Notamacropus eugenii: one gene and its partners. The protein of the gene in region 2 binds, or shares a complex with, the protein of the main gene of each other region. Links are inferred from orthologs where the notes say so. Each region holds a gene or a part of one and is shown on either strand. Other genes may lie near its edges.

What was found.
Region 1: the proteins of INTS7 (region 2) and INTS4 are in contact, whole or in part, in a cryo-EM structure (PDB 8RC4), measured with the Homo sapiens proteins. The link is inferred for Notamacropus eugenii from reciprocal best matches to the Homo sapiens genes INTS7 and INTS4. Residues at the interface, in NP_056249.1 of Homo sapiens: Lys137, Asn138, His140, His141, Arg144, Gln145, Gly175, His205, His206, Asp207, Ala208, Ser244, Ser245, Leu246, Val247, Lys282, Thr283, Pro284, His285, Thr286, Thr321, Ile322, Lys325, His326, Gly686, Tyr689, Glu704, Gln707, Gln708, Leu711; in NP_291025.3 of Homo sapiens: Glu536, Met539, Asp540, Arg571, His572, Ala574, Tyr575, Asp578, Ser579, Ser610, Phe613, Arg620, Leu624, Leu627, Gly631, Glu634, Leu635, Phe638, Arg641, Asp642, Arg645, Leu646, Glu648, Leu649, Gln650, Lys677, Leu678, Trp679, Asn680, Val681.
Region 3: INTS7 (region 2) and INTS12 share a complex: the UniProt entries of both Homo sapiens proteins name them as parts of the integrator complex. The link is inferred for Notamacropus eugenii from reciprocal best matches to the Homo sapiens genes INTS7 and INTS12.
Region 4: INTS7 (region 2) and INTS6 share a complex: the UniProt entries of both Homo sapiens proteins name them as parts of the integrator complex. The link is inferred for Notamacropus eugenii from reciprocal best matches to the Homo sapiens genes INTS7 and INTS6.

What each region holds. Positions count from the first base shown.
Region 1 is NC_092876.1:125,487,429-125,494,345, forward strand, and holds the start of INTS4 (integrator complex subunit 4), read left to right. Parts: upstream 1-3,915; 5' UTR 3,916-4,241; coding exon 4,242-4,295; intron 4,296-6,394; coding exon 6,395-6,589; intron 6,590-6,917. UniProt on the Homo sapiens protein: Component of the integrator complex, a multiprotein complex that terminates RNA polymerase II (Pol II) transcription in the promoter-proximal region of genes.
Region 2 is NC_092873.1:426,296,122-426,303,470, reverse strand, and holds the start of INTS7 (integrator complex subunit 7), read right to left. Parts: upstream 3,005-7,349; 5' UTR 2,876-3,004; coding exon 2,782-2,875; exon of another isoform or gene 2,774-2,781; intron 1-2,773. Other genes in the region: DTL (denticleless protein homolog), read left to right, coding at 3,260-3,404. UniProt on the Homo sapiens protein: Component of the integrator complex, a multiprotein complex that terminates RNA polymerase II (Pol II) transcription in the promoter-proximal region of genes.
Region 3 is NC_092878.1:125,219,664-125,226,956, forward strand, and holds the start of INTS12 (integrator complex subunit 12), read left to right. Parts: upstream 1-4,277; 5' UTR 4,278-4,390; exon of another isoform or gene 4,391-4,424; intron 4,425-4,545; exon of another isoform or gene 4,546-4,913; intron 4,914-5,872; exon of another isoform or gene 5,873-6,028; intron 6,029-7,293. UniProt on the Homo sapiens protein: Component of the integrator complex, a multiprotein complex that terminates RNA polymerase II (Pol II) transcription in the promoter-proximal region of genes.
Region 4 is NC_092876.1:104,426,747-104,434,763, reverse strand, and holds the start of INTS6 (integrator complex subunit 6), read right to left. Parts: upstream 3,005-8,017; 5' UTR 2,468-3,004; coding exon 2,357-2,467; intron 2,033-2,356; coding exon 1,955-2,032; intron 1,314-1,954; coding exon 1,164-1,313; intron 1-1,163. UniProt on the Homo sapiens protein: Component of the integrator complex, a multiprotein complex that terminates RNA polymerase II (Pol II) transcription in the promoter-proximal region of genes.

The DNA of each region.
Region 1 (6,917 bases), on a different chromosome or scaffold from region 2:
TAGGGAACTTTTTTGATAGGCAACCCGATAATTTTGCTTTTCAATGTGTTTTGGGATGCTAATAATTCTGAGGTTCCCTTTCCTTAATCAGTTCTCTCAATCTATAACATTATTCTGCAATGCTTACATATTTTTCACAAATGTGTTATTATTTTTATCTTCAACATTTTTATTTAAAGTTTTGAGTTCCAAATTCTTTCCCTCCCCTTCTCCCTCCCTTAGATGGTAAGCAATAAGATACAGGTTATACATGTGCAATTGTGTAAAACATTTCCATATTAGTCATTCTGTAAGACTTGAATAAAAGGGAAAAATAAAGTGAAAAATAGCATGCTTTAGTCTGTATTCAGTCAATATCAGTTCTTTCCCTGGATGCAGAAAGCATGTTTTATCATTAGTCCTTTGGAACTGTCTTAGATCATTGTACTGCTGAGAATAGCTAAGTCATTCACAGTTCTTCATTGAACAATATTGCTGTTGCTGTGTACAACGTTCTCCTGATTCTGTTCACTTCAACATGCATCAGTTAATGTAAGTATTTCCAGGTTTTTCTGAAATCACCCTGCTTGTCATTTCTTATAGTGCAATAATAGTCCTTTACAATCATACCACAGCTTGTTTAGCTATTCCCCAATTGAGGGGCACCCCCTAGGTTTCTATCTGCTATAAACTGCTATAAATATTCTTGCACAAACAGGTCCTTTTTCCTTTTGGGGGATCTCTTTGAGATACAGACCTAGCAGTGGTATTGCTGGATCAAAGGGTATGCACAGTTTTATAGCCCTTTGGGCATAGTTCCAAATTGCTCTCCAGAATGGATCAGTTCACAAGGTGAATTATTTTTTGAATTGGCTTTTCTCCTTCAATTGCATTATCTTGCTGCTCTTTGCTCCACTGCATTAATTCTGCTTTTAGCTATATCCAGTGAAATTTTCAAGTCCTCTAAGCTATTTTCTAGTTTTATCTGGCTTTGTTTGCTTGTTATGTTCTCCTGGGATTTCTTAGCTGCATTCATTTCTTCTTTTATTTCCTCTAGGACTCTTTTTTCTAAGTTTGATTCTTCTTTAATTCCTTGTATGTGCCTTTGATCTGTGTCAGCGCATCTCCAAAGATTCTTTGTGTTGTTTTAGATGTAACTTCTGACACTGTCTCAGGGTGCCTTCTTTCTGGCATTTCCCCCTTCTTTCAGTAATTTAAAAAAAAATTAATATTAGAATTTGTTGCCTTTTTGGTCAGTTCCAGGTTTCTTTCTGATATTTCTATTGCTCTTCATTAGGAGGATCATGAGGACCCTCGATCCTTGTTAACTCACACCAACAGCGTTCCTTTAAATATATTTTGAAAGTTTAGTTCTGATGTAAATTGAACTTTTTCTAACCCCAGTCTTTCACAAGTCAGTCTAAATGGAAGCAGTTTATATAGGATTCTATGAATTAGAACAGATTGTTAATAACAGTCCTAGGTAACAGTTAAAATGCAAGTTTCATTTTTCATACAATTACCTGCTAAAGTTCTGATTACAAAGTGGGAAGCTTAAGAGAATTAGCACAGCTGTTGGGAATTCTTATGAATAAGAGACAATCAGGGACTTTATTCCCCATGACATTCTCAAGGCTAGACACATTGGCCTACTGCCTAACTGCTCTCTTATTGCTTTTCCAGATGTCTTATGGGATAAGGATGGCAAGGATTCTCCTCCTTGAAATTCTTGGCTTCCATATGTCTTTGGCCTATTCTCTCATCCTTCTCTACCATTTTCTCTTGCTCCCTAATTGAATCACTAAAATTCAATCATTACACCCCTTTTCTTCTCTCAGTACATTTCTTCAGAAAGCACATGCATATATTCTCACAGCTTCAACCACTGCTTCTATGCAGATGACTCCCAAGACTTTTTCTTCCCTCCGCTCAAAGCTCCAAATCCCCTTTCAACTTAACATATCCTGAATTCACAACCTTCTCCCAACCTATTGACCCTCTTGGTTTTTCTCTTTTAATGGCATTTTAAAATCTCTCATTCACACCAACTCAAAACCTTAGAGTCAAGTCTGAATTCAAATCTGAAATTACTATCTTTTTTTATCTTAGTCAAGTCATGTAACCACTACATTCTGTTTCTTCATCTGTAAAATAAGGCAGTTGGACTGGACGGTCTCTGATGTACTTTCCAGCTCTAGATTCATGACCTTTTAAGTCTTGTTAATCTCTCTCTCTTCTTTAAATTCCTGCAACACTGAACTCCTGCTACTTTGAAATGCTAGCAAATTAATAAATCTAGAGCTGGAAGGGATTTCAGAAGTCATATAATCCCACTCCCTCATTTTACAGATGAAGAAATTAAGACTACTGAAATCAAGAGACTTGGCTAAGGTTATACTAGTAATAAGCATCAGAGGTGGCATTTGAACCCTAAACTAGTGTTTTTACTACCATGCCAAGCTGCACTACAGTCTCTTGCTATCACTCTAAGTTAGCGTCCTCTTCCTTCTCTCTTGTCATAGCATCTAACTAGATTCCTTTCTTTCTGTCTCTCTTCTGACCAGAAAAGACTGATCTCATCATGTGGGCACCCCACTGCCAGTGATGGGGCCAATTTGGGTTCTCAAAGAATAACATTCATTGATAGGTCACTCCTACAAACCCCTGCCAGAGCTTGTAGTTGTTCTGTTTGTCCTCTGTCCTCGTGGCATGGAGAAGATAATAGGTGATGCTGCCACTTGCAAGTAAAGTGACTGAAGTGAAGGAGGGCTGTGCAAAGTCAACAGCCTCTTTCTCTCCTTTGGAGTCATCTGAGTCTCTTTCCCCTCACACAGATCCTCCCCAACTCCCCTTCCAACTCACAGACCCCTCACCCCCATTTCCTTCACACATACTCCCACTCCCTCTTACCATAACCCCACATTCACTCCCTTTTTCTCTATGCCTTGACGCCTAACATATCCTTTCTTCTACCATGTCCCCTGGCTTAAAAGACGCCAAGGTCTCTCATTGCATCCTGAGCTGTTGCCAGTCATTCTGATGAATCTGGTCATTGGATCCATATGGCTCTAGAGGAGAAAATGAGGTTGGTGACCTTGTACAGCCCTCCCTTAGTCAAATGAAAGTCAACTGGAAGTCATGTCATCATCTTGATGTCACAGGTCCTCTTCAGAACGAAGGACAAACACAACAACAACCTCCCCGTACAAATCCCTATCCCCTCACCCTTCCTCCCTACTCTTCACATAGGTCTTTTTCTCTCCTGTCCCCCACTTTCCCATCAGATATCCCCCACGCTTTCTCTCCACCACACTCACTCTTTTTATCTCCCACCATCTACACTCGTATCCTCCTCTTCTCTCTTCTTTCTCCTTTCCTCCATTTCTTCCCTTCACATTCCCTCCTTCTTTCCTCCCAGCCCCCATCTTCACCCCATCCTCTGCCTACCCTCCCATCCCCCGCATCCCCTACTCCCTTTCATCCCTCACTCCCTCCCCCTTCTCTCCTCCTCCCGCCTCCCTACACGCCCCTTCCCACCCCCCCACTTTCTACCATCCCTCACTCCCCCCTCACACAAGCTTCCCCTCCCCCTCTCCCCCAGACATTCTTTCTTTTCATACATTCGCCCATAGCTCTCCCCGTCCTTCCCCTTCACAAAAACTCTGCCCTAGTTAGTGGGCATCCTCTCCTCAGTCACCCCGGGCCCAGCCCCCACCCAGCGCCTCCCTCACTCAACCACACTTCTCTCCTGCTCCAGGGACAAACCCGGCTCCGCGTTTTTCCGCTCGCTCCACCTTCAGTTCCGCCCCTCCACGAGCTCCACCCAATTACCACGCGCCGCGGCCGGCCGCCCTCGTTCACTGGCTACCTGCCCACCCAAGCCCCGCCCCCTCTCCCTGCTACCTCTCCACCTCTTCTCCTGTCTCTTTCCTCCTCTTGTTTTCATTCCCGAAGTCGCACGAGGCTCATCTGTTGCAGGGGGAGTGGGGGCGGGGGCGGGCGCGGGAGATCGAGCGCCTTGAGGGGGAAGGGAAGCTCACATTATCCACGCCACTCCTCCTTCCCCGCTGCATTGTGGGATACTGGAGTCCCAGTCCTAGCTCCGACCTCCACTTCCCTTCCCCTCCCGCGCTCAGCGGGACTCTCCACGGCTGCGGGGGGGGGGGGGTGGGGGGAGGCCCGGTCGAGGCTACGGCGGCCGGGAAGGGCCGGCCCGGAAGAGAAAGGCGGCGCTGGAGGTGCTGTTTGCCCCAGCCGCCGCCATGGCCGCGCATCTAAAGAAGCGGGTGTATGAAGAGTTCACCAAAGTCGTGCAGGTAAACGGCCCTCGGCCTGGCGGACTGCGGCAGCAGCTGGGGAGCAGGACCGTGGGTCCCGGGGCGCCACCTCCGAGGGCTCCTCTCGAGGCCCGGCCGGCTCCTAGTTCCGCATCGGTCTCGCCGATCCCTTGTTCTCCAGACCTCAGTTTCCTCCTCTGTACAATGGGCACAGTCATCTCGTAGCGTTCTTGCTAGGGCTGTAAGCAGTGAGGGTCAGCTGAGTTGGGGGGGACTTGAGAGGCCGCCCAGCCCAGCCCCCAGAGCTCTGTTGGGAAGTTCAAGCTCCTTCCAGCCTAACTTTACCTTTTGGCTTTTGTGCTGGGCCCAGCCTATTTGTGTGATCACCAAACGTGCTCCTCCCGAGATAGCTCAGTCCTAGGAGATAACGGGAACCCAGGTCCCATCCCTCCCTCTGTAGCGGAGGAATGTGGAAGTCACACAAACTACTCTTTGGGGCTCGGCCAGCTCATCTCTGCAATGGGCTGCACAGCCAGGTAGTTCTAGAAGCAGCTTGTAGCTCAGGCAGATACTAAGGGAAGTTTTGTGGTATTGGGTGGAAAAGAACAGTAGGCAGAATTGTGGATACAAAGTATCTAAAATGAATAAAAAGTTACATCTCCCAGGTTGTGGTCTAGAGGAAGCCACTGTAGAAAGTGGCTCTGGATGGCAGGTGTAGAAGTGTCCAAGTGAGGAACTCTAGAGCTTCCCAGGCCTAGGGGGACAAGCCGTGGAAAAATAGGGAGAGGAAGTGGAACAGGGTGTATCACATATAATCAGCCTTAAAGGTAGGGTACTGCCAAATTGTTAAGGCCTTTAAATGCCAAGTAGAGGTGTTTGTATTGTATCCAGGAAGGAATAAGGAGCCACCGAAGCTTCTTGAATGAAAGCATGAGGTTAAAAATGGGTGAGTGAGCTGGACGAGAATACAACAGAGGTAAAATCTGCCCATTCCGTTAAAGAGTTCATAGTCTATTCAGAGAGATGAAGTTTAAAAACTATGTACCAACAAGATATCCTAAAGACTGCTTTAGGAATATGAATTTGGCAGTTGTTTGGGATATGAATTTGGAGAACAGAGTTTGAATGTAGGAAGACCAGTTTAGAAGATTTACCTTTTTTTTTTTTTTGATTACAGATCATTTTGATCATACCTTGAGTAACTTAAAGAAGCTGTTCATTGAATAGGTGTATCTCACTCAAAGTGAGAGTGTGACCTTAGCCTGAAAGGGCCAGGGTTCCACATTACATCCTGGGCCATCTCCAGTCATCCTGATGAATATCTGGTCACTGGATTCAGATGGCTCTGGAGGAGAAAGTGAGGCTGGTGACCTTGCACAGCCCTCCCTCACTCAAATCAAAGTCAACTGCAAGTCATGTCATCATCTTGATGCCATGGTCTTCTTCGAGAACAAAGGACAAACACAACAACAGTAGTATAGACCAGAGCATATGAAGGTCTATGAACAAGTTGTGTGAGTAGAGAAAGCAGGACAAATGGTAGAGATGTGGAGGTAGAGGTTTGTCAGCTGAATGGATAATGTCAGGGTGAAAGAAAGGGAGAAGTTAAGAATGATTCCACTTACTTGTTGTGTTCTAAGTTTTAAGCAGTACCTAAGTGTATTTTTTTTTGTCGTGCCAACTCTGTGACCCATTTGAGATTTCCTTGGCAGAAATATTGGAATGGTTTGCCATTTCCTTCTCTAGCTCATTTTTACAGATGAAGAAACTGAGGCAAACAGAGTTAAGTGATTTACCCAGGGTCATACTACTAGTAAGTGTGTGAGGATGTGAACTTGGGTCTTCTTGGCTGCAGCTCTATATTCTTCACCTAGCTGCCAAATATGTCTATTAGAGAAATGTAAAACAAAGCGCCGTGTAACATCTGAGGTGGGGAGGTCAGTCTCATGGAATCAATCAGTTAACAAGCCTTTATTGGGTGATGCTTCCTGATGTGCCTGCACTGCTACTCACTGGAGAGAACACAGAATCCATAGAACTTCGCAACTCATCTGTAATTTAGTCTTAGAGAGTTGACTGGAGGGATTTTTATTTTCTTATTTTCCTTCACCAAGGTAATCTGCTTTAATCCATTGCAGCAACAACATGAAGAAATTGCAACCAAGAAGCTCCGGCTGACAAAACCAAGTAAGTCAGCAGCACTCCACATAGATCTTTGCAAAGCCACTTCCCCAGCAGATGCCTTGCAGTATCTCCTTCAATTTGCTCGAAAACCAGTGGAGGCCGAGAGTGTGGAGGGAGTTGTCAGAATTCTCTTGGAACATTATTACAAGGTAAGGAGACTACCCCTGAATTCCTCCTGAGATGCCTCTTTGTGGGGCATTCTGGGTTCTCAAAGTCTGGGTCAGAAGAGTGATAAACCTTGGGAAGAACCTGCCAAGTTAGACTGGCTTGAGACATTTGGCTAAATTGTACATTGGATGGAGGAGAGAACCAGAGGAAATGATGGTGTGAAAGTAAAGGTCTTACCAGATGCTGCATTTCACAGATATTGCAGGTTTTTGGTTTTTTTTACAAACTGAAGGTTTGTGGCAACCATGCAATTGAGCAGGTCTATCTGTGTCATTTTTCCAGCAGCACATGCTCACATCATGTCTCTGT
Region 2 (7,349 bases):
TTCCTTTTGCATTTAATGTCTCCAAAGCTTAGCACAGTGCCTGGCATGTGGCAGGCCTTTAATAAATGTTTACTTAACTACTGACTAATGTGCTACCTCGTCCTTTTCTCTCATTCTCAAATCTCTACTGCATGGCTTCCAGAAAGCTTCATCATTCCACTGAAACTCCTCTCTCCAAAGTTATTAATGATCTGTCAATTGTCAAATTCAATGGCCTTTTTTCAATCCTTACCCTTCTCAACCTCTCTGTAGCCTTTGGATACTATTGATCACTCTTTTTTCCTTAACACTCACTTTTCTCTTGGTTCTAGTGACATAACTCTCCTGGTTGAGAGAAATGATTATCAATAACCAATGATTTGAGGAGATCCAGAGTTCTCCCCCTTTTCCAAAGTCCTGATTTTAAAAGATCAGACTAATCATGAAAGATTACTAATGAGCTAGGATTCAGAAACCACCCAGGTGGGAAAGCCACAGTGCCCTATTCAGGTCTGAGTAGGGATAAAATCTTTGAATAGATTGCCCAAGGATAGAACTAACCTAGAAGTAAAAGTCATAATCAAAGTTCAGGTCCAGCCCCTCATTGCACTATTCGTTCTCTCATTTTTAGTCAATCAGACTTGATTGCCACCCTGATCTCACCCCTCTTCCAATGGGCAGAGAAGCAGTGAGCCTGCCCCATGATTATCTCTGGTCTAAAAGAGAGACAGCCAAATTTAATTAAAATTAAGATATTATTAATAAAATTATCAAATTATCCAGAAAATTATGTCTCTTGAACCTTTTTAAAGACCACATGGTTCCCTTACCAATCTGTTCCTTTTCAGTATCCTTTGCTGGATTTCCATCCAAGCCATACATATCCACTAACTGTGGGGGGTTCCCCTAAGGTTTTGTCCTAGACAGAACATATCTCCCCCATACTGCTTTACATAGTGATCTCTTCAGTTCCTATGGATTCAGTTCCTATGTCTACACCAACTATCTTCAAATCCACTTATCCAGCCCTCACTCTCTCTCAGCCTAGCCCCCATATTCAATTTATTGCTTATCTTTTCCCACCTTACAACATTTCTAGAGTAGGCCCCTTCTCTTCTCTAACATGAAAACTACTTTGGTGCTGGGCCCTCATCACCTGGACTATTGCAATATCTTTTTGCTTGGTCTCCCTACCTCAAGTCTCTCCTCCAATCCATCCTTCACTCTTCTATCAAAGCTGTCTTCTTGGCCCACATCCTCACCTATTCAATCAACACCAATGGCTCCCTCCAGGATCAAGTATAAAAACCTTTTCCAAGTTCTTATACCTTAATCCCTCCCTCCTAACTCTGCAATCCAGTGGCACCTGCTATTTATTCCTCACAAGGGACACTCCTTCACCAGCACATTTTCCATGGTTCTCTTTCTTTCCTCTGCTTCTCTCATCTTCTGCAGGAAACCTTCCTTTAGTGCCTTTCCTTAGACATTATTTCCAATTTATCTTGCAGATGCCTTGCTTACACACAGTTGTCTTCTCCCATTAAACTGTAAGGTCCTTAAACCCAGACAACTGGTCTTATTTTCTCCTCAGCCTTTCAGTGCCTGGTCTGAAGAAGGAAGCTGGAGTCAGATTCTGGAGGGCTTTAAGTGCCAAAAACAAAATTTTTTTCTTTACCCTTGAGAGCCACAGGAGTTTTTAGAAATATAGACGTAATTGTGCTGGTTCAAAGCGTATGCCCGGTTTTCCAGTCCTTTAGGCACAGTCCTAAATTACTCACAAGACTGGCTGGATCAGTTTACAATTCCACCAACAATGCATTAGTGTTCTAATTCTTCCATATGCTCTCCACATTTAACATTTTCCATTTTTGCCATATCAGCCAATCTGATAGGTGTGAGGTGACACCTCAGAGTTGTTTTAATTGGTATTTCTCCAATCAGTAGTGATTTGGAGCATTTTTTCATACGAGTACAGTTAGCTTTGATATCTTCATCTGAAAACTGCTTGTTCACATCCCTGGACAAACTTGTCAACTGGGGAACGACCTGTATTCTTGCAAATCTGACCAACTTCTTGCGCTGGGTAATAGAAACAGCTAAGGCGCTTTCAACGTTTAAAAATAAAAACCATTTGTTCTACTTTGCTCTCATAGGTGAGTCAAAAACAGTGACAAAAGCCCTTCCTCCGCGGTATTCGCTGCAAATGCGACAAACCCAAGTCCAGAAGGTCCATCAATCCAAGCTAGGGGGCGCAATGCAGAGGCGGTGGGCCAGGAGTCAGGGAGACCCGAGTTCAAATGCGACCCCAGCCGTGACCCCGGGGGAATCCTTTAACCTGTGGGTCGTTAGCCGCTTGGCCCAGAAAGGCCTGATGTGGTCCCTGGGAGTCGGAGACGACCCAACAATCAAATGCCGGGCTCAGAAGGCACGTACTTTTAACAGGCCCAAGATTTTTATAAACCAGTTCGACTTTGGGGAAGCTAAAGGTTTGACAGCAGGTGCGTGGCTGGCGCGTGAATCCAGGGCTCCACGCCCCCGGCCCCGAACGCTTTCCCCTTCCCCCTCCAAGCCCTCCAGCTTGAGGCTGCGGGCATTTCAAAGTTCACCTCCCACACCTCCCGCGACCCACGGAAAGCGTGGAACAAACCGTGCCAGCTTCCGAGAAAAAGGACTACCCCCACTGCCAAGGTTACCGCGCATGCGCCCCTAGCTCGTCTTCAGGCCTCGACCAGCTGGTGGCGCCATTTCTCCCCGTCCTTCCCCCCCTCCCATTTTGACGCGGACGGTTAGCTACCGTGATACCTTTATCCAGTTCCATGAGGGCTGAGTTCGCATCCAGTTCCTGTTCGCCATAGCCGGCGTCTGCCAAGAAAGATTTGCTCGAATTCGACGCCATGGCGCTCTAACAGTAATTAGACAAGCCTATTCAGGATTAGAAACTCCGCAGCAACGCAACCATCTCCCTCCAATTTGTTCTCGCGTGTTTTCTTCCCCCCTACCTCGGCTTTCTGCCAGCTAATACCGCGCATGCGGCCTAAGTGCTCCGCCGTTCAGCCTTTCGTCTTCACCCGGCGCAGGCGCAAACGGAGCCAATAGCCACTCGCCCTGGGGCTTCCTCAGTGGGAGGAGGGAGGGCGGGTGAGAAGGAGGCGGGGATCTCGAAGGAGGCGTGGCTTGCGTCTCAGCGATGGAACGGCAGGAGCCAATCAGGTGGCGTTTCGTCAGTTTGGCGCGGAGTTTGTTGGCTGGAGCCGGTGGTGGCGGGAGTTAGCCGGTATAAATGGGCTGGGGACGGGGGAGAGGGCGTGGGGGCTGTAGGTTTTGCACCGCCTGCGGGTTTCCTCTGCTCCCCGGCCTTTTCCCGCCGCCTCAGATGCTGTTCCATTCGCTCCTCCGCCAGCCCCGCCTGGGCGCGATTGGGAATGGTAAGTAACGGTTCTAACGGTCGCTGGCAGGTCGGCGTCCCCAGGTCTCGGGCTGCCTCGCTCTCCCCCTCCCCTCCGCTACCCGGGCGCTCAGCCCCCCTGATCGGAGCCCCGGGCTTTCGTTGCGGCCGGGGCGCCCCAGGGGATGGAGAGAGCTTGCGGTGACCCCTCCCCCCGCCCGCCGAGGCTGGATGGGAACTCGAGGACGGCTGGCGGCTTGGAGTGCGCTTCCGAAACCGCGGGTCCAGGGCTGTCTCTGCGGGATGAGGGAAGGGGTGATCCCTTGAGATCCCCCTTAAAAAGTCCGAGCCTTGGGCGACTCTGAAAGCGCTAGATTAGCGCTAACTTAGGTTCATGTTTCTCCTTTCCCGATCTAGTTTCCCAGACTCGGCTCAGATCCCACCCGCAGGGGCCTGCCCTAGTCCTCCCCCCCGCCCCCTCCCATCCTCCCTCCTCACCTCCCGTTTACCTACGACGTATCCTGTTTGAACAGGTTTTTTACATGTGGACCCTTAGAACACGCGCATCTCGAGGGGCCCAGATCCCACCAAAATCTCGATTCCGCCTTCCTGGAGGCCCTTGCTCTGGGGCGAGCTCGGTGCGTGCCCTGCGTGCTGATGGTTCCCCGTTACCCTGGGAGTGCTTTACACCCCCAGAGCGGCTCCGAGGAGGAGCTGAGTGAATCCAAACCTGGGGACTTGGGGCAGGCACCGAGTGTTTGCCTCTTCTTTGTATCCCCCGGACTGAGCCCCGTGTCTGGTACCAAATAAATGGTTAAATTGTTGTGGATTGTCCGGGAGGGTTGCGAGCTCAAGGACGCCTCGGTCCTTATCTTCCTGCAAGATTCCTCCCCCATCTCTCCTCCATTTAACTCTGACTCCTAGGCCTAGAAACCAATTCTTATCTTATCTCTTCCTGTTCAGCTCTCCCCCTTCGAATTCCCTGATTCCCTTATTATACTTGTGCGTATCCGTGGTGTACCCCTCCTACCATTATATTACAAATATCTTAGGGGCTGAGACCCCTTTCATTTTTTTTCACCTTTGTATTTCCAGTACAATTCCTTGCAAGTACAAAGTGTCCCAAACCTCTTAGTGCTTAAAAAACTGCATTTTTGAAACATCTTATATTAGGCTCTTAATAAATGTCTGTTGTACTGAGAGATCTATTTAGAATTAAAACCTCTCTAGTATTCAGATTGACTTTGTTTGGGGCAGACATTCTTACAGATGAACCAAATGCACAACTTAGAAACAGCAAAACAGTTTTTTAAAGCACATTAATCAAGAATATGGAATACTTGCTAATCAAGCAAATGTTAATTTTATGGCACTAAGTACTGCAGGTGCCTGTTTTGATGGATGTACAAAGAAGTACAGGTCACTTGAAAATTATTTGTGTTTCAAAAGTTCTTTGTAAATTGGTCGAGTTCACACATTTCCCCACGGAAACAATATTGTAAATTGTGGTTAGATTTCTTACCTGTTTAATCCACAATGAAGATGAAATAGTACCAGACGGTATTATATTCTGATTAGAGAACCTAATAACCATTATATGGCATTGTTTCTGTGGGAAACGAGAAGGAAAGGATTGTGATAGCATTATTTGAGTGCTTTTCACCTCTCTTCCACCATAGTGAAATAGAGCAGCTTGGCAAGTAGTAAGAAAGGAATAATATGCCTTAGAGAATTCTTCCAAAGAAAGTCTGTCCCTGGCGCAATAGTATGAATTGACCATTTTTATGTATAAGGGATTTGTGTATCAGAGAATTCTGGTTTAAGACATGGGTTCTTGGATCTCTATTCATCTACAAAATATTCAGTTATCACTTACATTTTAAAATTAAACTCTCACCTTTCCCCCAAACTTAGTGTCCAATCTGGAATTTCTTCCCTTTCCCACATAGTCTCCTCTTTCACTATTCCTAATCTTTTGGAATACAAACTTCTTTGAGAGCAGTCTCTCTGCTTTTGATTCTGTATCCCCAGGACAGCACAGTGCTTTGTTATGGGGTCCCCTGAACTTGTCTTTTTGAGTTGCCATATTTTCCAGAAACACTAGACCCAGAGCATGCAGGAGGCCAGCCCTGCATGTGTTTGGGACAAAGCTGCCCCGCAGCTGACATAATTTGTTGTTTGCACCCGGACCTGGATTACTGTGTGTCCTTGGGAGACAAGACAGGCACCAGACAATCTGTGCCAATCTGGGAAAATATTTGTGCAGCTGGGGTCCTTTGCAGATAAGCAGGACTCCTCCTATCAAAAGATTGGGGGGGAATCATAGCCTCACCTGCATTTGAGGGGCCTTGAATAAAAGTAAAGGGTTACCTAACTTCAGAGGGGCACTGAATAATTTTTCTTTTTGGAAAAGGGGGCAATAGGCTAAATAAGTTTGGGAACTTATGGTTTAGTGGTTTCCAAGGTAAAAGAATTTGGCTTTTGCCATCACCTTGTTCCTCCCCTTCAGGAGGAGCTTTACTGCACCTTTCCCCTCCCATGTCATACCTTTTAGGTGGAAATATATGTTTTTTCCTCCTCCTTTTGTTGTACTGTCATAAATATGCAAACTTCTGTAAGGACTGTGAACTCTTTGGGTTCCACATGCTTGTTCGTTTCTCTTGTAAAATAAAACTGGTTTTCACATAAGTCTCATGAGGTGATTGTTGACCCCTTGGAATAAAGTACATGTTTTTCATTCATCTAATCAGATTTCAAATCCTATTGATTATTCCTTCCTAATATATCTCATATCTGCTTCTTTCTTTCCATTCAGATTGCCACCATTCATGTCGAAGCCCACTTTATCTCATATCAGAACTACTGAAATAGTAATCTACCTGCTCTGTCTCTAGTCTACCACTCATCTTTAGCAAATTAATCTCCCTAAACATTGCCTTGCTTATGTCATTCTTCTGTCCCCTCTGTTCAGAAATCTTAAAAAGACTTCCATTGCCTATGCTATTCTTTAGCTATTATTCAAAGCCCTGTTCAACCACTCCCTTTACACACACCTATTTAAAATGGTTAAAACATAGATTGTTGATATCATTTGTTTTTAGCTTATCTATATTTCCCGGTATTTCCTCCTTTCTGGAGAGCTATCCTTTATAACTATTATGAAAAGTGGCAAAATTAGTCAGCATTTGAAAAAAGTCTGATTTTATAGGTAGTATTCCACATCAATAGTTCTTTACCTTTGCAAGGAAGGCAGGGGAAGTACACACACATCTAACTTTATATAGAGAACTTCTCTAAGGAATCTGTGTAATCAGCCCAACCTGTTCTTTTCATGTTGTCCACATTCCTGCCTCTCTGCCTTTGCAGAAAGATTAGAAGATTGTTACAAAATAAGTTAGAAGATTGGGTACATCCTCCATGTACTTACTGGAAAATATATTATCCATAATAAGGCTAGGGGAGGAGTGAGAGGGATGTGTTTTACATTTATGGAGAGTCATCATGGATCCAAAAAAGAGCCAAGTATTAGATCAGAGGTGGGCAATCTGTGGCCTTGAGGCCACATGTGACCCTCTAGGTCTCCAAGGGCTGCCCTTTGCCTGAATGCAAACTTCACAGAACAGATCCCCATAATAAAAGGATTTGTTCTGTAAAAGTTGGACTCAGTCAAAAAGCTGCATCCAGGGACCCAGAAGACCACATGTGACCTGGAAGTCGCAGGTTCCCCACTCCTGTCTTAGGTCCTGACTTTCCTTTCAAAATCAATTTTAAGTTTCATCTCCTGTGTTTCCCAGTTTCTCCAATGAAAATGTTTTTAGTACACCTATACTGTTCATTTGCCATTGATTCTACGCTAAGAAAGGGTATTTGTTAAAGCCAAATCTGTTTGGCTTTAACAAACCTATATCTCCATATCTTTATGTGTAAGTGTAAGACATAATATATTTCTTGATACCCCTAACCTAATATATAATCAAAAAAAGTT
Region 3 (7,293 bases), on a different chromosome or scaffold from region 2:
AAACTTCTAAGATGGTAGAGGGGATTTTGAGGGGGAAGGGAGCAGAAAGAGAGTGGGGAAGGGAGAGAGAACAAACACATATAGTCTCTACTATGTTCTAAACATTACTAAACACTTTATTACAAAGATTATCTCATTTGATCATCAAAACCCTGGGAGGAAGGTGCTATTATTATTATCCTGATTTTATAGTTGAGGAAATTAATTCAAACAGAAGTTAAGTGATGTGCCCAGGGTCACACAGCTAATACATCTGAGAACAGATTTAAACTCGGGTTTTTCTTATTACAAGCCCAGCACTCTATCCTGGCTATCTGTAGACAAGAGTAACCTTACAAAAAAAGGGAGGTTTTCTTCTGGGTTACACTACAATGGCTCACATTATACGTACTACTTTAGAGTTTACAAAAAACTCTTCTTCCAATCTTAGGGTAAAATGACTTAGGATAACATTCCAAAATAAGATTTAAATGATTTATGGAATCTTTTGATACAGTTTTCCTCCTCCCTAATGCTGGAATGATTGGCCTAATTAACCTAAATATTCTGTTCCCCCCCAATTTAACTATTTAGTTGCAGAATCATTCTTTGCTATTTTGCTACAAATAAATGTTTTCTTTACTACTTTACACTTGTACTTTGCTATCCTGAATTCTATAGGTAATTTGAAAAAAGAAAATTCATTGGGCTGTTACATGAAAACCATGATGACTGATCTAATTGAAAGAAATCTAGATCTGAGTTCAGGTCCTCTCTCTCTCTCATCCACAAAATGAGCGTTGGTCAGGATAATCTTTAAGGTGCAACAGCTAGAATGCGATTAAATTCCATGATATGTCTGAGGAAGCTGAAGTTTATAGAGATCAATTCAGAGGTGATACTTCATAAAGAATTATATAAAATGAAGTTCAATTCTAAAGGTCAAGGCATATGGACGAAAAGCTATGTTAGTATTTAACCTGCTTCTTTGGATATAAGAAGTTGGATTGAAATGTAAAAGCAAAACATCTTCATGTAAACTTGGCCACAAAGAGAGACTCTGTTGCCAAGAAATCCAAATGCTCAGATGTATCCTCATAATTAAAAGGGATCCACAGGGTGGATATTGACAATATTAAGGCATTTCACAGGGCCTGAATGTGGTTGTCTACCAGCTTGAATGTAATTACTGAAGCCAGTATCACAGCAGTGGACTACTTAGAATACCTTTAATTTCAAAGTACAACATCAGGTACTGAGTTCCACCTAAAAATAATTAAATATCATAAACTCTCATACTGTGTACAAATTATAAAACAGGCAGAGAGCACTGAATACTGAGGGAAGCAGGTAGCATAACCCTTGAAACCTTAGACATCACTGACACTCCCTACCTGAATCTGATAGCTTTTATCTTACAATAAAATGCTGCCCTTTTAAAAGGCTATTTGAAAGCTCATTATTGACTCTTTATTTCAAGTCAAAAAGGACATAAAAGTTATAAGGAAAACAAGTGTAACTGAAACACTGAAAAAGTAATGCGTTAAAGAACTGTTTAACTGAATTGCTTATTCACACTGACCTCTCCAACTAATACTTTAAAGTAAAACTAAAACAGGAAAGCATATTTTCAGTTAAAGACAGTCTCAATCAGAGCCAGCATTGTGACTTCTCCATCAAGGGATTTAAAAAAAAAAAACCAGCCAAAGGTCTTAATACCAAATTTATTTACAAGACAAATTACAAACAGTTTTTTTCTGTCATAGCTTCAAAATAGCTTGAAAAAAATTAAGCTATCCATTTAAATGACAAGGCTTATGTTTTAAAACTGTTACAAGGAATATTAATTCTTCCTACTTGCATTTCCTATAGAATAATAACAAAGCTTTTCAAATCAACCTACTCAAAACTATCATTTGGTTGTAGTCAGGCATGAGCTGTTTTGATTACCTTAAAAATCTATAAATGCAAAAAAAATTAATTTTCCCTGTCAGTATTTGATATGCTGTTAGCACGAGCATCCTCCAGGGGATCCAGGGAGCCGGAGACTTAGTGACCAGGGAGTCTAGTGAGAAACTTCAAAGCCGAGTCCTAGGAGGAAGGGAATACCTGAACATTGCAATTTCATCAGGACTCATGACTTCCCCTTGGGAAAAGCCCCCTCCACCACTCTAGGTTTACAAATGTTCTGCTAGCCTGCTGTCTCCCAACATGCTTCTTGAAAGCACCACATATTTTTTCATCTTTTGCCATTTCTTTGATCCCTAGTGCTAGCACATTGTTGGTTCTTAAGTAAATGCTTGCTGACTTGACCCAACTAATAGTCACACTGCAGGGGTTCTCTCCTTAGTTCATGAACTTGTTTTTAACTTTTAATTTAATGTTAAGTTTTTTAAAAATTTTAAAATTTAAAAAAATTAAAAATTCTGACAGCTGTATTTTAATAGTTTCCTTTGTCATCCTAGGTTATTTTACTTAATGCACTTAAAAACATTCTGAGAAAGAATTCATAGGCTTTACCACATTGCTAAAGGGGTTCATGAGACACACAAGAAAGGTTAAGAACATCTGTCTTAGGAAATAGCAGCTTGTGACAGAGTCTTGCCCAAGGTCACACCAAGATGCTTTCAAAGCAAGTCTGAGGGCTTCCTAACTCAAACAGGATCATAGATTAAGGCCTTCTAGTCCAACCCCTTTATCTTACAAGTGAGGAAAATAAGACCCAGGGATCTGACCCTAAATCTCTTTAATGCCAGTTATAATTCCAACAAAGTAAATCTCAAGTGCATTTCCAGTGGTGGGTGTTATCGGATTAGCTGTCCCTGGTAAAGGACCAAAACAATATTACAATGTGGAAGTCAAGGTACAGGGTACCCTGCTGTGGCATACAAGCCTTCTAAGGCTCTACCACAGGTAGGGCACAAATGATGAGGTTAAAAATTGAAGGTGCAGAGAGGATTTGGGGGAGGTTCATGAAGATTGGCTACTTGCTTCCTTCCAAGTCCCAACTAAAAATGCCAACTTCTACAGGAAGCCTTAATAATTGGCATCACTCATGCTAATGCCTTCCTGTGGCTGTTCATCCCCAATTTTGGCTGTATATATTGTGTTTGCTGTTGTTTGCTTATCATCTCCCCCTTTAGACTCTTAGAGGGCAGATACTTAGAGGGATTCTTGACATCCCCATTACCTAGCCCCAGTGTCTAGCATATAGTAGGTGACAGTAGGTTCAGATCAGAAATCAGACACTTCCTAGCTGTGTGACCCTAGGCAAGTCACTTCACTGCTGTCTCAGTTTCCCCATGGGTAAAACGGGGATAATAATAGGGCCTACTCCCAGGGTTGTTGTGAGGATCAAATGAGATCACCGTAAAGCGCTTGGCACATAGTAAGCCGTACATGTTATATTACTTTATTTTTAATTTATATTACATATAACATATATATTATTTAAGCAGTAAGTTACGTCATTTATTATTCCTTGCTGTGTATCCCTGTGCAAGTCACTTAACCTCTGACTCATTTTCCTGATCTGCAAAATGGGGAGAAGTCTAGCACCCATCTGCCGGGGTTGTTGGGAGGACCAAATGAGATGGTAACTGAGATGCCTAGCGCAGCCCGTCTGCTGACACGCGCACCCATCCCCTAGCCCAGACAGTTTAGTATCCCAGGTGTGTACAGGAGGAAACAATGTATCAGGACATTCCTCCCGCGGTCTGAGATGGTAACTGACATGCTTAGCGCAGCCCGTCTGCGGACAAGCACACCCATTCCCCAGCCCAGACAGTTTAGTATCCCAGGTGTGTACAGGAGGAAACAATGTATCAAGACATTCCTCCCGCGGTCCCGTATCTGTCTGGCACGTGTACCCCGGGCTCCAGCTTGGGCTTAAGAGAAAACCACTAAGGCTTTCCATGGTAACAGTAAGAGCTTAATAAATGCTTGATTGACTGATTAAGGAAAAGTTACTTTAATCACACGGCCTCGGAGCCCCGGGAGGCTGACCGAGGGTGGAGGACCTCCTCCCCGCCTCTCGAGCTCTGCCCCGGCCCGGACCCAGTCCTAGAAGGGTAGGTAGCGGCCTAGGTCGGTACGTAGCCGGAAGGTAACGGCGGAGCCCCTCCCCACCCCCGAGTCCCGCCGCTCCTCCGGGATCCCCGCTCTGCTCCCGACCCGCTCACCCAGCCCGAGCGCCGAGATCTTCGAGAGCGCTGGCGCGCGGCAATTCATAAACGGGAGGACCGGAAGCTGCGCCACTTCCGGTCGTCGCACCTCTGAAAATTGTCCCTTCCCCCCGTGCCCCTGGAACCTTTGTTTTTCCGCTCGGGGAGCCAGCCGGCGGGTGTCGGCGGCCCGGCTCCAGAAGCGGACGCCGGGGCGGGACGGAGAGGCGGCCGAGGGCGTGGGCCCGGTGAGTCGGTGGGGGAGGGGGGCCGCAGCCCGCGAGGGTCCCTGGCGGGCGCGCGGACAGGTCCGCGCTCACCGCCGCTTCCCCCGGCGAGGGCCCGGAGGGGGCGGAGCCAGCGGCGGCCGAGCTGGGAGGGGGGGGCCGGTAGGAGGTGGGGACTGACCCCCCCCTCCCCCAGGCTGCCCCGCCCTGCGCGGACTTCTGCGCCGGCCGTCGGTGCCGAGGGGAGAGCGGGTTCGAATCCCTTTGCGGGCACTTGTGCGGGCTGGGCGTCCCCTGCCTGCCCGCCTCAGTTTCCCCCTCTGTAAAACGTGAGGTTAATAAGTGGCCACCTTTACGCCCCCGCCCTGCCAAACCATTCAACTTAGGCCTGCCTCAGTTTCCTTCTCTGTAAAATGGGGGTAATAATGACACCTGCCCCTGACCAAGCCACTTTAATTTTTCCCTGCCTCTGTTTCCTCCTCTGTAAAATGGAAACAACCCTGGCCCCTTCCCGTTGTTGTGAGGGTCAAAGAAGATAACCCAGGTAACGTGCTTTTACACCCTAAATGACACTAACAGCGATGAGGAGGAGGAGGAGGGGTAGGTAGAAGCAGCTGGGCTTAGTGCGAGGGATTCCTGGAGCCAGGAAGACCTGGGTTCAAATTGAGTTCACACTGGACGGGCGGCCCTGGGCATGTGCCGCATCTCTGGACCGCTGATAGACATGGGGGGGCCCCCTAACTGTCCGGAAAGACCTCTGCAGGAGCCCCCACCCTCGGCCGAGACACCCCCGTAGTGTATTTTCATCTGCTTTGTCCTCCCAAGTGCGTTTGCATCTGCTTAGGGAGCTCTTGTACGTGCCCCCCCCCCCCCCCTCCCGGTGCCTCCAGAGTCAGGGCCAGGACTGGGGAGATCTGGTCCTCACCTAGGAGCTCCCAGCCCTGGTGGAACCCCTGGTGCCTTCCAGAGTCAGGACCAGGACTGGGGAGATCTGGTCCTCACCTAGGAGCTCCCAGCCCTGGTGGAACCCCAGGTGCCCTCCTGAGTCAGGGCCAGGACTGGGGAGATCTGGTCCTCACCTAGGAGCTCCCAGCCCTGGTGGAACCCCTGGTGCCTTCCAGAGTCAGGACCAGGACTGGGGAGATCTGGTCCTCACCTAGGAGCTCCCAGCCCTGGTGGAACCCCAGGTGCCCTCCTGAGTCAGGGCCAGGACTGGGGAGATCTGGTCCTCACCTAGGAGCTCCCAGCCCTGGTGGAACCCCAGGTGCCTTCCAGAGTCAGGACCAGGACTGGGGAGATTCTGGGGAGAGGCAATGAGGGTGATCTCTGGGCACAAGCATTTTAATCAAGTGCTTGCTATAGGCCGGGCAAAGTCAAGGTTGCCGGCCTTCTGCCAGGGACGCAGCTGGCAGAAAACTAAGTACAGTGTTCCCAAAAGCAATTTTGTGTCAGATTTGTCCTGTTACATGCTGGCTCAGAAGTTGTTTGCCCTCCCTGCCTTACCTTCTTTTAGCTTCTTAAGGTGATGGCCTTTACCTTAAAGTCATCGAGTCCATCTCACTGGTACAGATGAGGAAAATGCATCCCAAAGACACAGTGATTCTCCTTCACAGAATCAGTAAAACTGGCAGAGCCAGGTCTGTTCCTGGAAAGGGAGAACTGTGGGAGAACCTGGTAGATAAAAGCAGGCAGCATCTGCCCTTGAAACTTATCTATAACTGCATCTGTGGAAGAAAGGAGAGGTGGCCAAGGCCCTCTGAGCATCGTCCCAGAGGATGTCTGTCACATGGTCTTTAGGAGGTGTTCTTAGAGTGAAGGAACATGTTGATTCTCCCTCTGTAATCCCTCCAGGCTTTAAGGCCATTTCCTTGCCAGAGAGATGAATGTGGGAGGTTTGTTTTTCCTCTCCTGTCAGATTTGGAAAGGTGATATAGGTAGTAAAGGCTGACTTGATGAGCAGATCAACATCATTATCAATTATTGTTATTAGTGTATCTAATTCAGCTTTGAGAGACTCAGCTACTGTGATCGAGACAATGATCCAAGACCGTTCCAGAGGAGTTGTGATGAAAAATGCTGTCCACCTCCAGAGAGATGTCTGATGAACTGTGTGCAGACTGAAGCATGCTTTTTAAAATGTCCTTATTTTTCTTGCTTTAGTGTGTGTGTTTTCTTTTGCATCATGGCTAATGTGGAAATATGTTTTGCATGACTTTGTCTGTTTAATTGATACATTGCTTGCTTTCTCCAAGGGGTGGGATAGAGGTGGAGAATTTGGAACCCCAAATTTCTAAAAATGAATGATAATTTTTTTAATGTTATTAGGAAATATTTAACAAAGCATATAAAAATACATTCAAAATAATAATGTATCCAAGTCAGCAGATTTATCAGGTGTCTGTATGCAAAGCATGGTGTCTGGAGCTGGGCATATAGACTGAAATCCCTTCCCTCAGGGAGCAGAGGGGTACTAGAGGTACTAGAGAGGAACAACATATAAACAAACAAGGGAATAAAGGATGATTTGAGAAGAAAAAGAGCTTTAGCAATAAGGAGAATCTGGAAAGCCTTCCCCTAAATATTGGCATCAGGTTTTAGCTTTGAAGAATTCTGAGAAGCCTTGATGTGAAGCAGTGTGGGCCCATGTGCTAACTGGACATTTACCAGCTGGGGTGCCATGGACAAGTGGCTTCTGTTTTCTCTTCTGTAAATTGGATAGGATTCTATCTGTACTATGTACCTTCTAGGTTTTGTTTTTATTATCTCTTCAGTTTCCACATCTACAAAACTGAATAAATATATGATCCCTGAGGTCTCTTCATGAATATTCTCTTTGACTAATACACTGACTCCTTGTGAGAAAAATGCTTTGTAAATGTTAATATTCTGCCTCCACATGAGCTATTATCATTCTTCTCCACTCA
Region 4 (8,017 bases), on a different chromosome or scaffold from region 2:
AGGTTGATCTTTCCAATAATTAGCACAGCAGCTTTGTAAGAACTGCATATCACTTTTCCCTACGGGGATACCAAAAAAAATCTTATCTCAACTGAATTCAGGTATGCTCCTTCTCCTAGAGTAAATTTAGTTTGTAAGAAGCAAAAGTGGGAGAGAACAGTCCTACTAACTGGTAGTCATGGTTCAAGGGAGCTGAGTGGAGCAAAGGCAGATATTTAACTATAACAGATCCCTGTGGTAGGAGTGGAATGTACTTCCAGGTAACAACTGAACCTCTTGGGTCTCAGGCAGATCTTTTATTTCTCAGGCCAACAGTCTCACGGAATGTTTTAATGGAGCAACTTGATTACTCCATATTGAACCATCACGCGGATTAGAGAATGATGTTGCCAGGCTCCAAAAGAGGTCTTGTCTGATCCTCAAATTGATGAGCAGCAGCTGTAATACAGGGACTTAGGGGGAAAGGGTTCTTCCATAGCTTCCAGAGAAACCCAAGGGGTTGAATAAAAAAAAAAAAAGCTCTTAGGAAAGAGCAAAAACTTTTTCTGTCCTCTGGACCTAACATTTTTAGTTCATTAACAGCAGTAGAAGCCAATTCTGGATCCTTCAAAAAGAAGTTCAGAAATCCTAGTGTATTCAAGAGGTTGAAGTCTGCACTTAGGTGAGAGTGTACTTTTCTTACCCTTCAGACAAGAAACATACAAGGAATGGATAAGCACTTGTGCAGCAGATGGATTTCCCTGTTTCTTTATTGACTAGCAGAATGAAGCAAGCCCCTAAGCCCCTACTAATGCCTGTGCCTCAAAGTCAGCCAACAGTCGTACGTATGAGCACAGTCGCACCATAGTAAGCAGGTGACAGTAGGACATAACACAGATTTCCCTGCTCTTAATCACAAATTAATGTCAGTATTCTTCAACTGTACTAGGGCCATAAAATGTCAGCGTCTTAAATAAGGAAGTGAAGTTCAGAAAACAAAGGCTTTTTCACGAATAACATGAGGGGACAGAACTGTCCCTAATGTGTGCATGTCTTCTCGAGTTAAATCTGCTTTGAGAGGAGGTACATTTGAAAATGTCATATTATGGAAAGTTTGTGAACTGGAACGGTCTCTTCAGAAAAAAGGAAAATGAACTAGTTTCCCACTTGAATATTCAACCTACCTGCCCATAGTTGTCTATGCCAGTTACTAATCTATTTAAATTTAACAAATCAAAAGCTGTCCTTAGGGATTGGCCAAGAGTCGTAAGTCCTTCAGCCTGAAGGTTTTTCAGTTCATTCATAAACGTGGCGTGGTTTTCTTTCCATCCAGCCTGCAAAGAGAAATGCACAATGGTTTATTTCCCCCCCACGACGGGCCTCGGGGCGCTCCTGGGGCCGCTGCCCGGGGCCCCCGCGGGGCGCGCCTGGGGGCGCGGCGGCACCACGTCCGGCGCGGGCGGCGGGCGGCTCGGCCGCGGCTCCGCTCCCGCGGGCTCCGCTCCCACGGGCTCCGCTCCCGCCAGCCGCGCGAGCCCCGAGCTCCCTTTAAAGCCAAACTTGAGCCCGAGTTGCCGCCGCCGCCGCTGTCACTTCGCTAACTTGAACACACATCCCCCACAGTGCCTTGCTGCCGCCGCCGCTCGCAGCACACGGGGGGAAATGTCGGCCATGTTGATAGCAGCGCCGCCGCCGCGGGCGGCCGCTCCGGCGGCGGGCAGGAGGTCGCGGCGCGGCCGCTCCTCTTCTCCCGGCCCCACGAGCATCGCGGGCGGGGGCGGGGGGCCGAGAGACGGGGAGAAAAGACGCCGGGGAGCGGGCCCGAGGCCGCGGCGGGGGGGAGGGGAGCATAATGAAGGGTGAATGGGGCGGGGGGAGGGGAGCAGGGCGAGAGAGGAAGGAATAAGGAAGGCAAGGCTGGGCTAGGCGAGCGGGGGAAGGCGAGGGCGAAGCGGGGCCGGGCGGGGGCCCTTACCTTGATAGCGTAGGGAGGCTCTTCGAAGGTGACCAGCATATACCTGTCTCCTCGGCTGGCCGGGTCCCGGGCACGGAGCTGCGAGGGAGCGGGAGAGGGGGGAGAGAGAACAGGGCGGGCGGGGGAGCACACAGCCCGGGTTACGAGGCATCCCCGCGGGCGGACCGAGCCCCCCCGCTCCCCACCGTGCAGCACACACGCAGGGCCCCCCCCCACCCTCCGGAGCCCCCCGCCCGACCCCAGCGCCCGCCCGCCCGCGGGGGTGGCGGGAGGGGGGGTCCCCACGCCGGGCTGTTCCCGCAGCCGGGTCTCCCCCACCCCCTGGCCACCCCCCCACCCCTGATCGTCCGCTCCCCGGGTCCACCCCGGCCGTGTTCGCCAGCTGGCTCGGTCAGTCGGTACCTTCATGAAGGTCTCTACCGCGCCTTTGGCCGTGTCCAGGTAGGTGGTGCCCAGATGGCTGCGCTGGTTCATAGAGGCGGACGTGTCTATCAGGAACAGTAAGATGGGCATAGTGCTGGCCGGGGACACCGGGGCCCGAGGTGGTGGAGGAAGAGGAGATGGTGGTGGTGGTGGTGGAGCTGGTGGAGGAGGTGGAGGCGGCGGCCGCCGCTACGTGGGGCGGGGGAGCGCGGCCCCCGGGAGGAAAACACGGTCGGGGGCTCTCCTCCGGCTGAGGGGAGTTTCTCCCCGGATAGTTGAGAGGAAACTCCCCTCGCCCCTGGCCACCCCAGCAGACCCCCACCTCCTCCTTCTGCCTGCCGGCTGGGCCGGACGCCCGGCCGTCTGTCTGTCCGCCTGCCTGACTGTCCGTCCGTCCGTCCACCCGCCTCGGGGGTCCCGTCCCCGCTCCCGGCCCCTATGTGTGTCCCAGCGGGAGACGGGCCTGGCTCCCCACCCCACCCCCGGCGCAGGGAGTGGGGACTCGGGAGCTGGCGAAGAGGGGGTTGGGCTGAGGGGGGGAATTGGCCCTGGGGCTGTTGGGAGAAGTTTCAGGGACTCCCCCCGCTCCCCGGCGGTGTCACCACTTTCTCGGCCCCTCTCGCTACTGAAGCGCTTTTCTCTCTCACACTCCGGTTTTAACTCGGGCAGGGGCTCCTCGGGCTCCGCCCCCCTGACACGTCCCCGTGCCATGTGACACGCCGCCCCGCTCTTCCATAGGCTGAACACTGTTCCCTCATTAGAATATTCAAACAGCAGAGGGGCGGGGGAAGTGGGACGGTCGGCTCGGGGGACAGTTATGGAGCACGCGCGGAGGCGAGGCGCCCGGGAGCGCGCGAGAGCTAGCGAGAGAGCAAGCGGGCTGGTGGGCAGGCGCGGAGGCGGGCCCCGGGCAGGCTCCGGGAAGGGGCGGAGAGGGGCGGCCGGGTGGGGGAGGGGAGGCACGCCGGGGCTGGCCGGGGCTGTGAGCCTGCGCGGCGGGGCCAGGCGGCCTCTCTCCTTGGCTGTTGGAGGTGATGGGGGTCGGGGGGAAGATGGAGGTTGGGCCGAGCCTCCCTCGCCCCCTCCCCCTTCTCCGAGGTGACTGAGAGCAGCCCGCGGCCTGGGAGGCGGGTGATGAGGGCGGGGAGTGGAGCGGGGCAGGCACTCAGGGAAGGGAGGCAGGGCCGCTGCCGCCGCCGCTGTCGCGGGAGGAGTCAGCTCCCTAGGGCCCCAGCGGCAGGCGGATCCCGGGCCTGGGGGAGGGGATCGCGGGGCTTGTTTGTGATCAGCCATCAGTCTCCGCCCCGAGCCCTGCTCTTTCTCTTCAGGCGCCCCGTGCCCGTCGAGGGGGCCCGACACCCGGATGGAGCCGGCACTTGGCCCGGCGTCGGGGAGCCGGCCCGGGCGAGGCGGGGCCGGGCCTCCTCGGGAAGGTTTTCGGGGGCTGACCCCCGGGGCCTCCCCCTATTGTGTGTGGCAAACCCCGCTGCGGGGAGTGGTGCGGAGCCCGAGAGCAGCAGGGTGGGGGAGGCGCGCTCCTCATGGCCGAACGAGCTCCCCTGCACGCCCGCCCTTGGCGCGGCGGGGCCTTGTTTACCTGCGCGGGCCTGCCTCGGGGCCCCCCGGGCACGGCCGGGCCCTGACCGGCCTGGCCCCAGCCCCTCGTACCGAAATGGAACCTGAACGCTGGCTGTCGACAAACAGCAAAGACCTTTTTCCCCGCAGTATCACACGGGTTCGGTTAAGATTTCAGCCTCATGTTTGTGGCACCTCCTGTTTTTGTTAAGTAGAAGCTTTAGGACGTAAACTTTCTTCCTGTTGTAAGATTTGGACCTCAACCATTTTGTCAGTTTACAGTGGCGCTCCTAAGCCTAGGCACTGCGCCATTGTGCCTGTGAACTACACCAAGCTGAAGGCAAAAGTAGCCTTTCCCTCCAGGACCTGGTGGTGTAGTGGAGAAGATGAGACCTATTGTAGAAATGAGTGGGGTCGTCAATACAAAGGAGGGGTTCGGTCCGGGAGACCGTTTCTCCAGGGTTACATCTGGGAAAGCTTGCTGGCAGAGATGGTTCTGACCCGGGTCTTGAAGGGTGTCATGGATGGGCCTGAGATAGAATTAGTCTCAGACGTGAGCAAAAGCATTCCTAGTTAGGAAAGTATTGAATGAGGTTAGGGAATGGCAAGAAATTCAACTTTTGTTGGAATGGTAATGGCTCACTTATATAGTTCGAGAGTTCCAAGTCGCTTTCTTCTCGACCCGGTGCAGAATGTGGGCAGTGTGGAGAGCATTCTGAGAAATGACTCAAAATTAAATGTAGGGGATAAGGGCCTCTTCATCCTGTGAGCATAGAATCCAGAATCCAGATTCTAGAGTTGGGATTCATAGAAGCCACATGTCTTATTGCTTCCTTGCCCCTCCTGTCTTAAAACCTACAGTGTTAAGAGCTAAGAACTGGAAATACTCAAAACAGGCAAAAAAAGTCAGGGCATTGGTAAAGAAAGTCGGAGTGAACAAGGCATCAGCATAATGGGCAGCCCAGGCAAAGATGGGTTTCGGTACTCTCTCCGTTTCAGAATCACTTTCCCTCCTCTTCCTCCTTCAGTGTTCCAGGCCCATTCTCATCTAGCCTTTATCCCATTCTTAATCTCAGCCTTGTGTCAATGAACTCTTGCTGATAATACCTTAAGGAGGGGTGGGGGATTTGAGGGAATGCAGAAGAGAAGCTTATGACAAGGTGACATGTACATCTTTTTTTTGACATGTGCTTCTTAAAAGGTTCAGATTTGGAGAAGTTTTAGAACCAGTGGAATGAGACTATAATAGTGGAATGACAAGTAGTGAGGTTTTGAGATATATCCCCTTTCCTGGTCACAATGACTAAGGTTTTAGAGAAAAGCCAAGTAGTATCTGATGTAAGAGCCTACCCCCTAAAACTGATAAGGGCTAGTTAAAAGTAGCCTAGTTATTACTAGGAGTAAATAGCAACTTGGCCTAGTACTTCTTTAAAAACTTGCTGATCCTTGGTTTAAATAATGTTCCCAATTATGGAAATAAAATTAGCTAGAGTTAGGATCTAATGAATTAGACTTACCTGCAATGGCCCACAAGAGCCATTATAAATTACCATAAGTCAATCAAGTAATGAACTGGAATATACATAGGTGCTAAGATCTGAGTTTGTGGCATTTGAATATGACATCAGAATCATAGAACCTCAAAGATGAAAGGGACCCCAAGGCCAGTTAATTCAACCCACACCTGATTGAGAAACCCTGTCTACAAAATTCTCAACCAGTAGTCTTCTAGCTTTTGCTTGAGAGAAAATTCACTACCTCATGAGGTAATCTGTTCTACTTTGAGGTAGCTCTTAAGGCTAGGAAGTTTTTTTTAAAGGGACCCAAGATCTGCCTTATGAAATTCTCACTGGGCCTAGTTCATCCCTCTGAGGCAAAAAACAAATCTAATCCTTTTTAATTAAAAAAAAAAAATCTGACCACAAAAAAAATTTTTATACACAGTACACAAATGGGGGGATTTATAAGAAACCATGACTCTTCTGCTTGCTTTTTTAAAAAAACTTGTCATTTTAAATTTTCAAAACTTCCCTTATCTCTACTTCTCAACTCCTTTCTGTTCTCTACATTTAAAAATGTTACAAGGGCCCTTTTTTTGGCATCACTATTGCTAAACCTCTATCCCCACGAGTTTCCTGCAGCCATTACCCCATTGTCAGATAAATAAAAGGAGAAAGAAAAGAAATTGTAACCAATAAACATAGTGAAGCAAAACAAATCTATGCACTGTCTATTTAAAAAAAAAAAAAAGTCTTTCTGTACTTTGAGTCTATCACCTGCAGGCAAGTAGGTAACATGTTCCATTTTAGGTCTTCTGGAGACATGGCTGTTCACTGCATTGAACGGAGTTCTTAAGTCTTGCAAAGTTGTATTCCTTTGTAGTGTCTGGCCTTGTTTAGATTGTTCTGGTTCTTCTCACTTCACTGTGCACCCAGGAATCTCTGAGACTATTATTCCTTGTATATTTTCTTATAGAATGCTAATCGTCCATTAAATTCATATACCACAGTTTGTTCAGGCATTCCTCAGTTATGTAAAGGAAATCTAAGACAAATGTATCAACCTTGTGGCCTGTGGGCTGCAAGTGGCTGCACAACTCCCAAGCTGCCTGAACCAGATTAAAATATAATTGAGAAATGTTTAACAAAATAAAAATGTAATACAACAGAGTTAATGTTAATGGGGGAGGGCTAGTTAGTATATGACCAGCAGGGAACCCTTTCTATTTTAGTTTTATACTACTGATCTGAGGCAACCTCTTAGAGTCTATTTCTTTGCTTTCCTTCACAAATGAGGAGTTTGTTCTGCTTTTGACTATTGCTTCTCCAATATTAACCTTTCCCAAACACCCTTTCTCTATCCCTGCTTGTTTGTTGAGTTTAATGGTTTCTACACCAAGCCTTGTGAGTGTGTATTCAGTCCTCTTTTTTTCCAGTTAAATGAGGTTCATCTGATGACCACTGCCCTCACTTTTTCTATTTACACCCCTTCTTCCTTGTTCCTCTGATGTTTTTCTTCTTTTACTTCCTTTCCCTTTCTCCTCTTAGAACACTCAAAACAAAATCAATCCACTCCCAGGATGACTTTTTTGTCATTTAACTGTCTTAATCTGTTTTAAAGACATTGATGTTCTGAAGGTACACTTGTTTTCATTGCCCCTATCAAAATGTTAACACTACATAGTCGTATGGATCCTTCCAATTGCTTGACTAAATTTCCTTTGGAGGTTTTTTTGGACTTAGTTTGTATTTCGAAGTTCCTATTCAGCTCTGATCTTTTCATCAGAAATGCTTGTAAAGTCCTCTTCCATTAAAAGTGTGGGTGGTTTTTTTGTGGGGTTTTTTTATTGGTCCGTAGGATACTTGGTGTTACAGAGTAAGTTCTTTGTCATGAGCCTGTCTCGTTTTTTGGAATATCATATTCCAGGATTTCTCATTTTATAGTAGAAGCTTCTTGATTCTGTGTGAATCCTAACTATGGTTCCTTGGTATTTAAACTGCTTATTTCTGGATGCCTGCAGTATTTTTTTCCCAAACCCTTTGCCTTGTGTCCTCCAATAATGTGAAATCACATCTTCTTACACATGTATAGTGTAGCATATAGCACCAACAGGCTTGCCTTCAGGGAGCTACCCCACCTGCAATAAGTAGAGATATTGTAGATATATTAAAAGTAACATGCAATTTGAGCTTGAGACCACTGGAGTAGAAGACCTCTAGGACGCCAGGACTACAGATGTAGAGGCTGGAAGAGACATCATGTCTTTCAGATATGGAAACTGAGGCCTAGGGAGATGAAGTGCTCAAGCACACTCAGGTAGTAAGAATCAAAGATAATATTTGAACTCAGGTCCTGTGACTCCAAAGCTACTACTCTTTTCATTGTTTCATTCTCTCTCTAGCTTGAAATTTCTATGATTCCTAAATGAGTTTCATGTCTCCAAACTGGCAATGGTTTCCCTTTGTTTTGGTGTGGATTATGTGGGTCATTAATAACTTTTCATGTTTACATAGTACTCTAAAATTCACAAAAAGCCTTCCTTGAGAGGAGTGGGTTATGATTCAC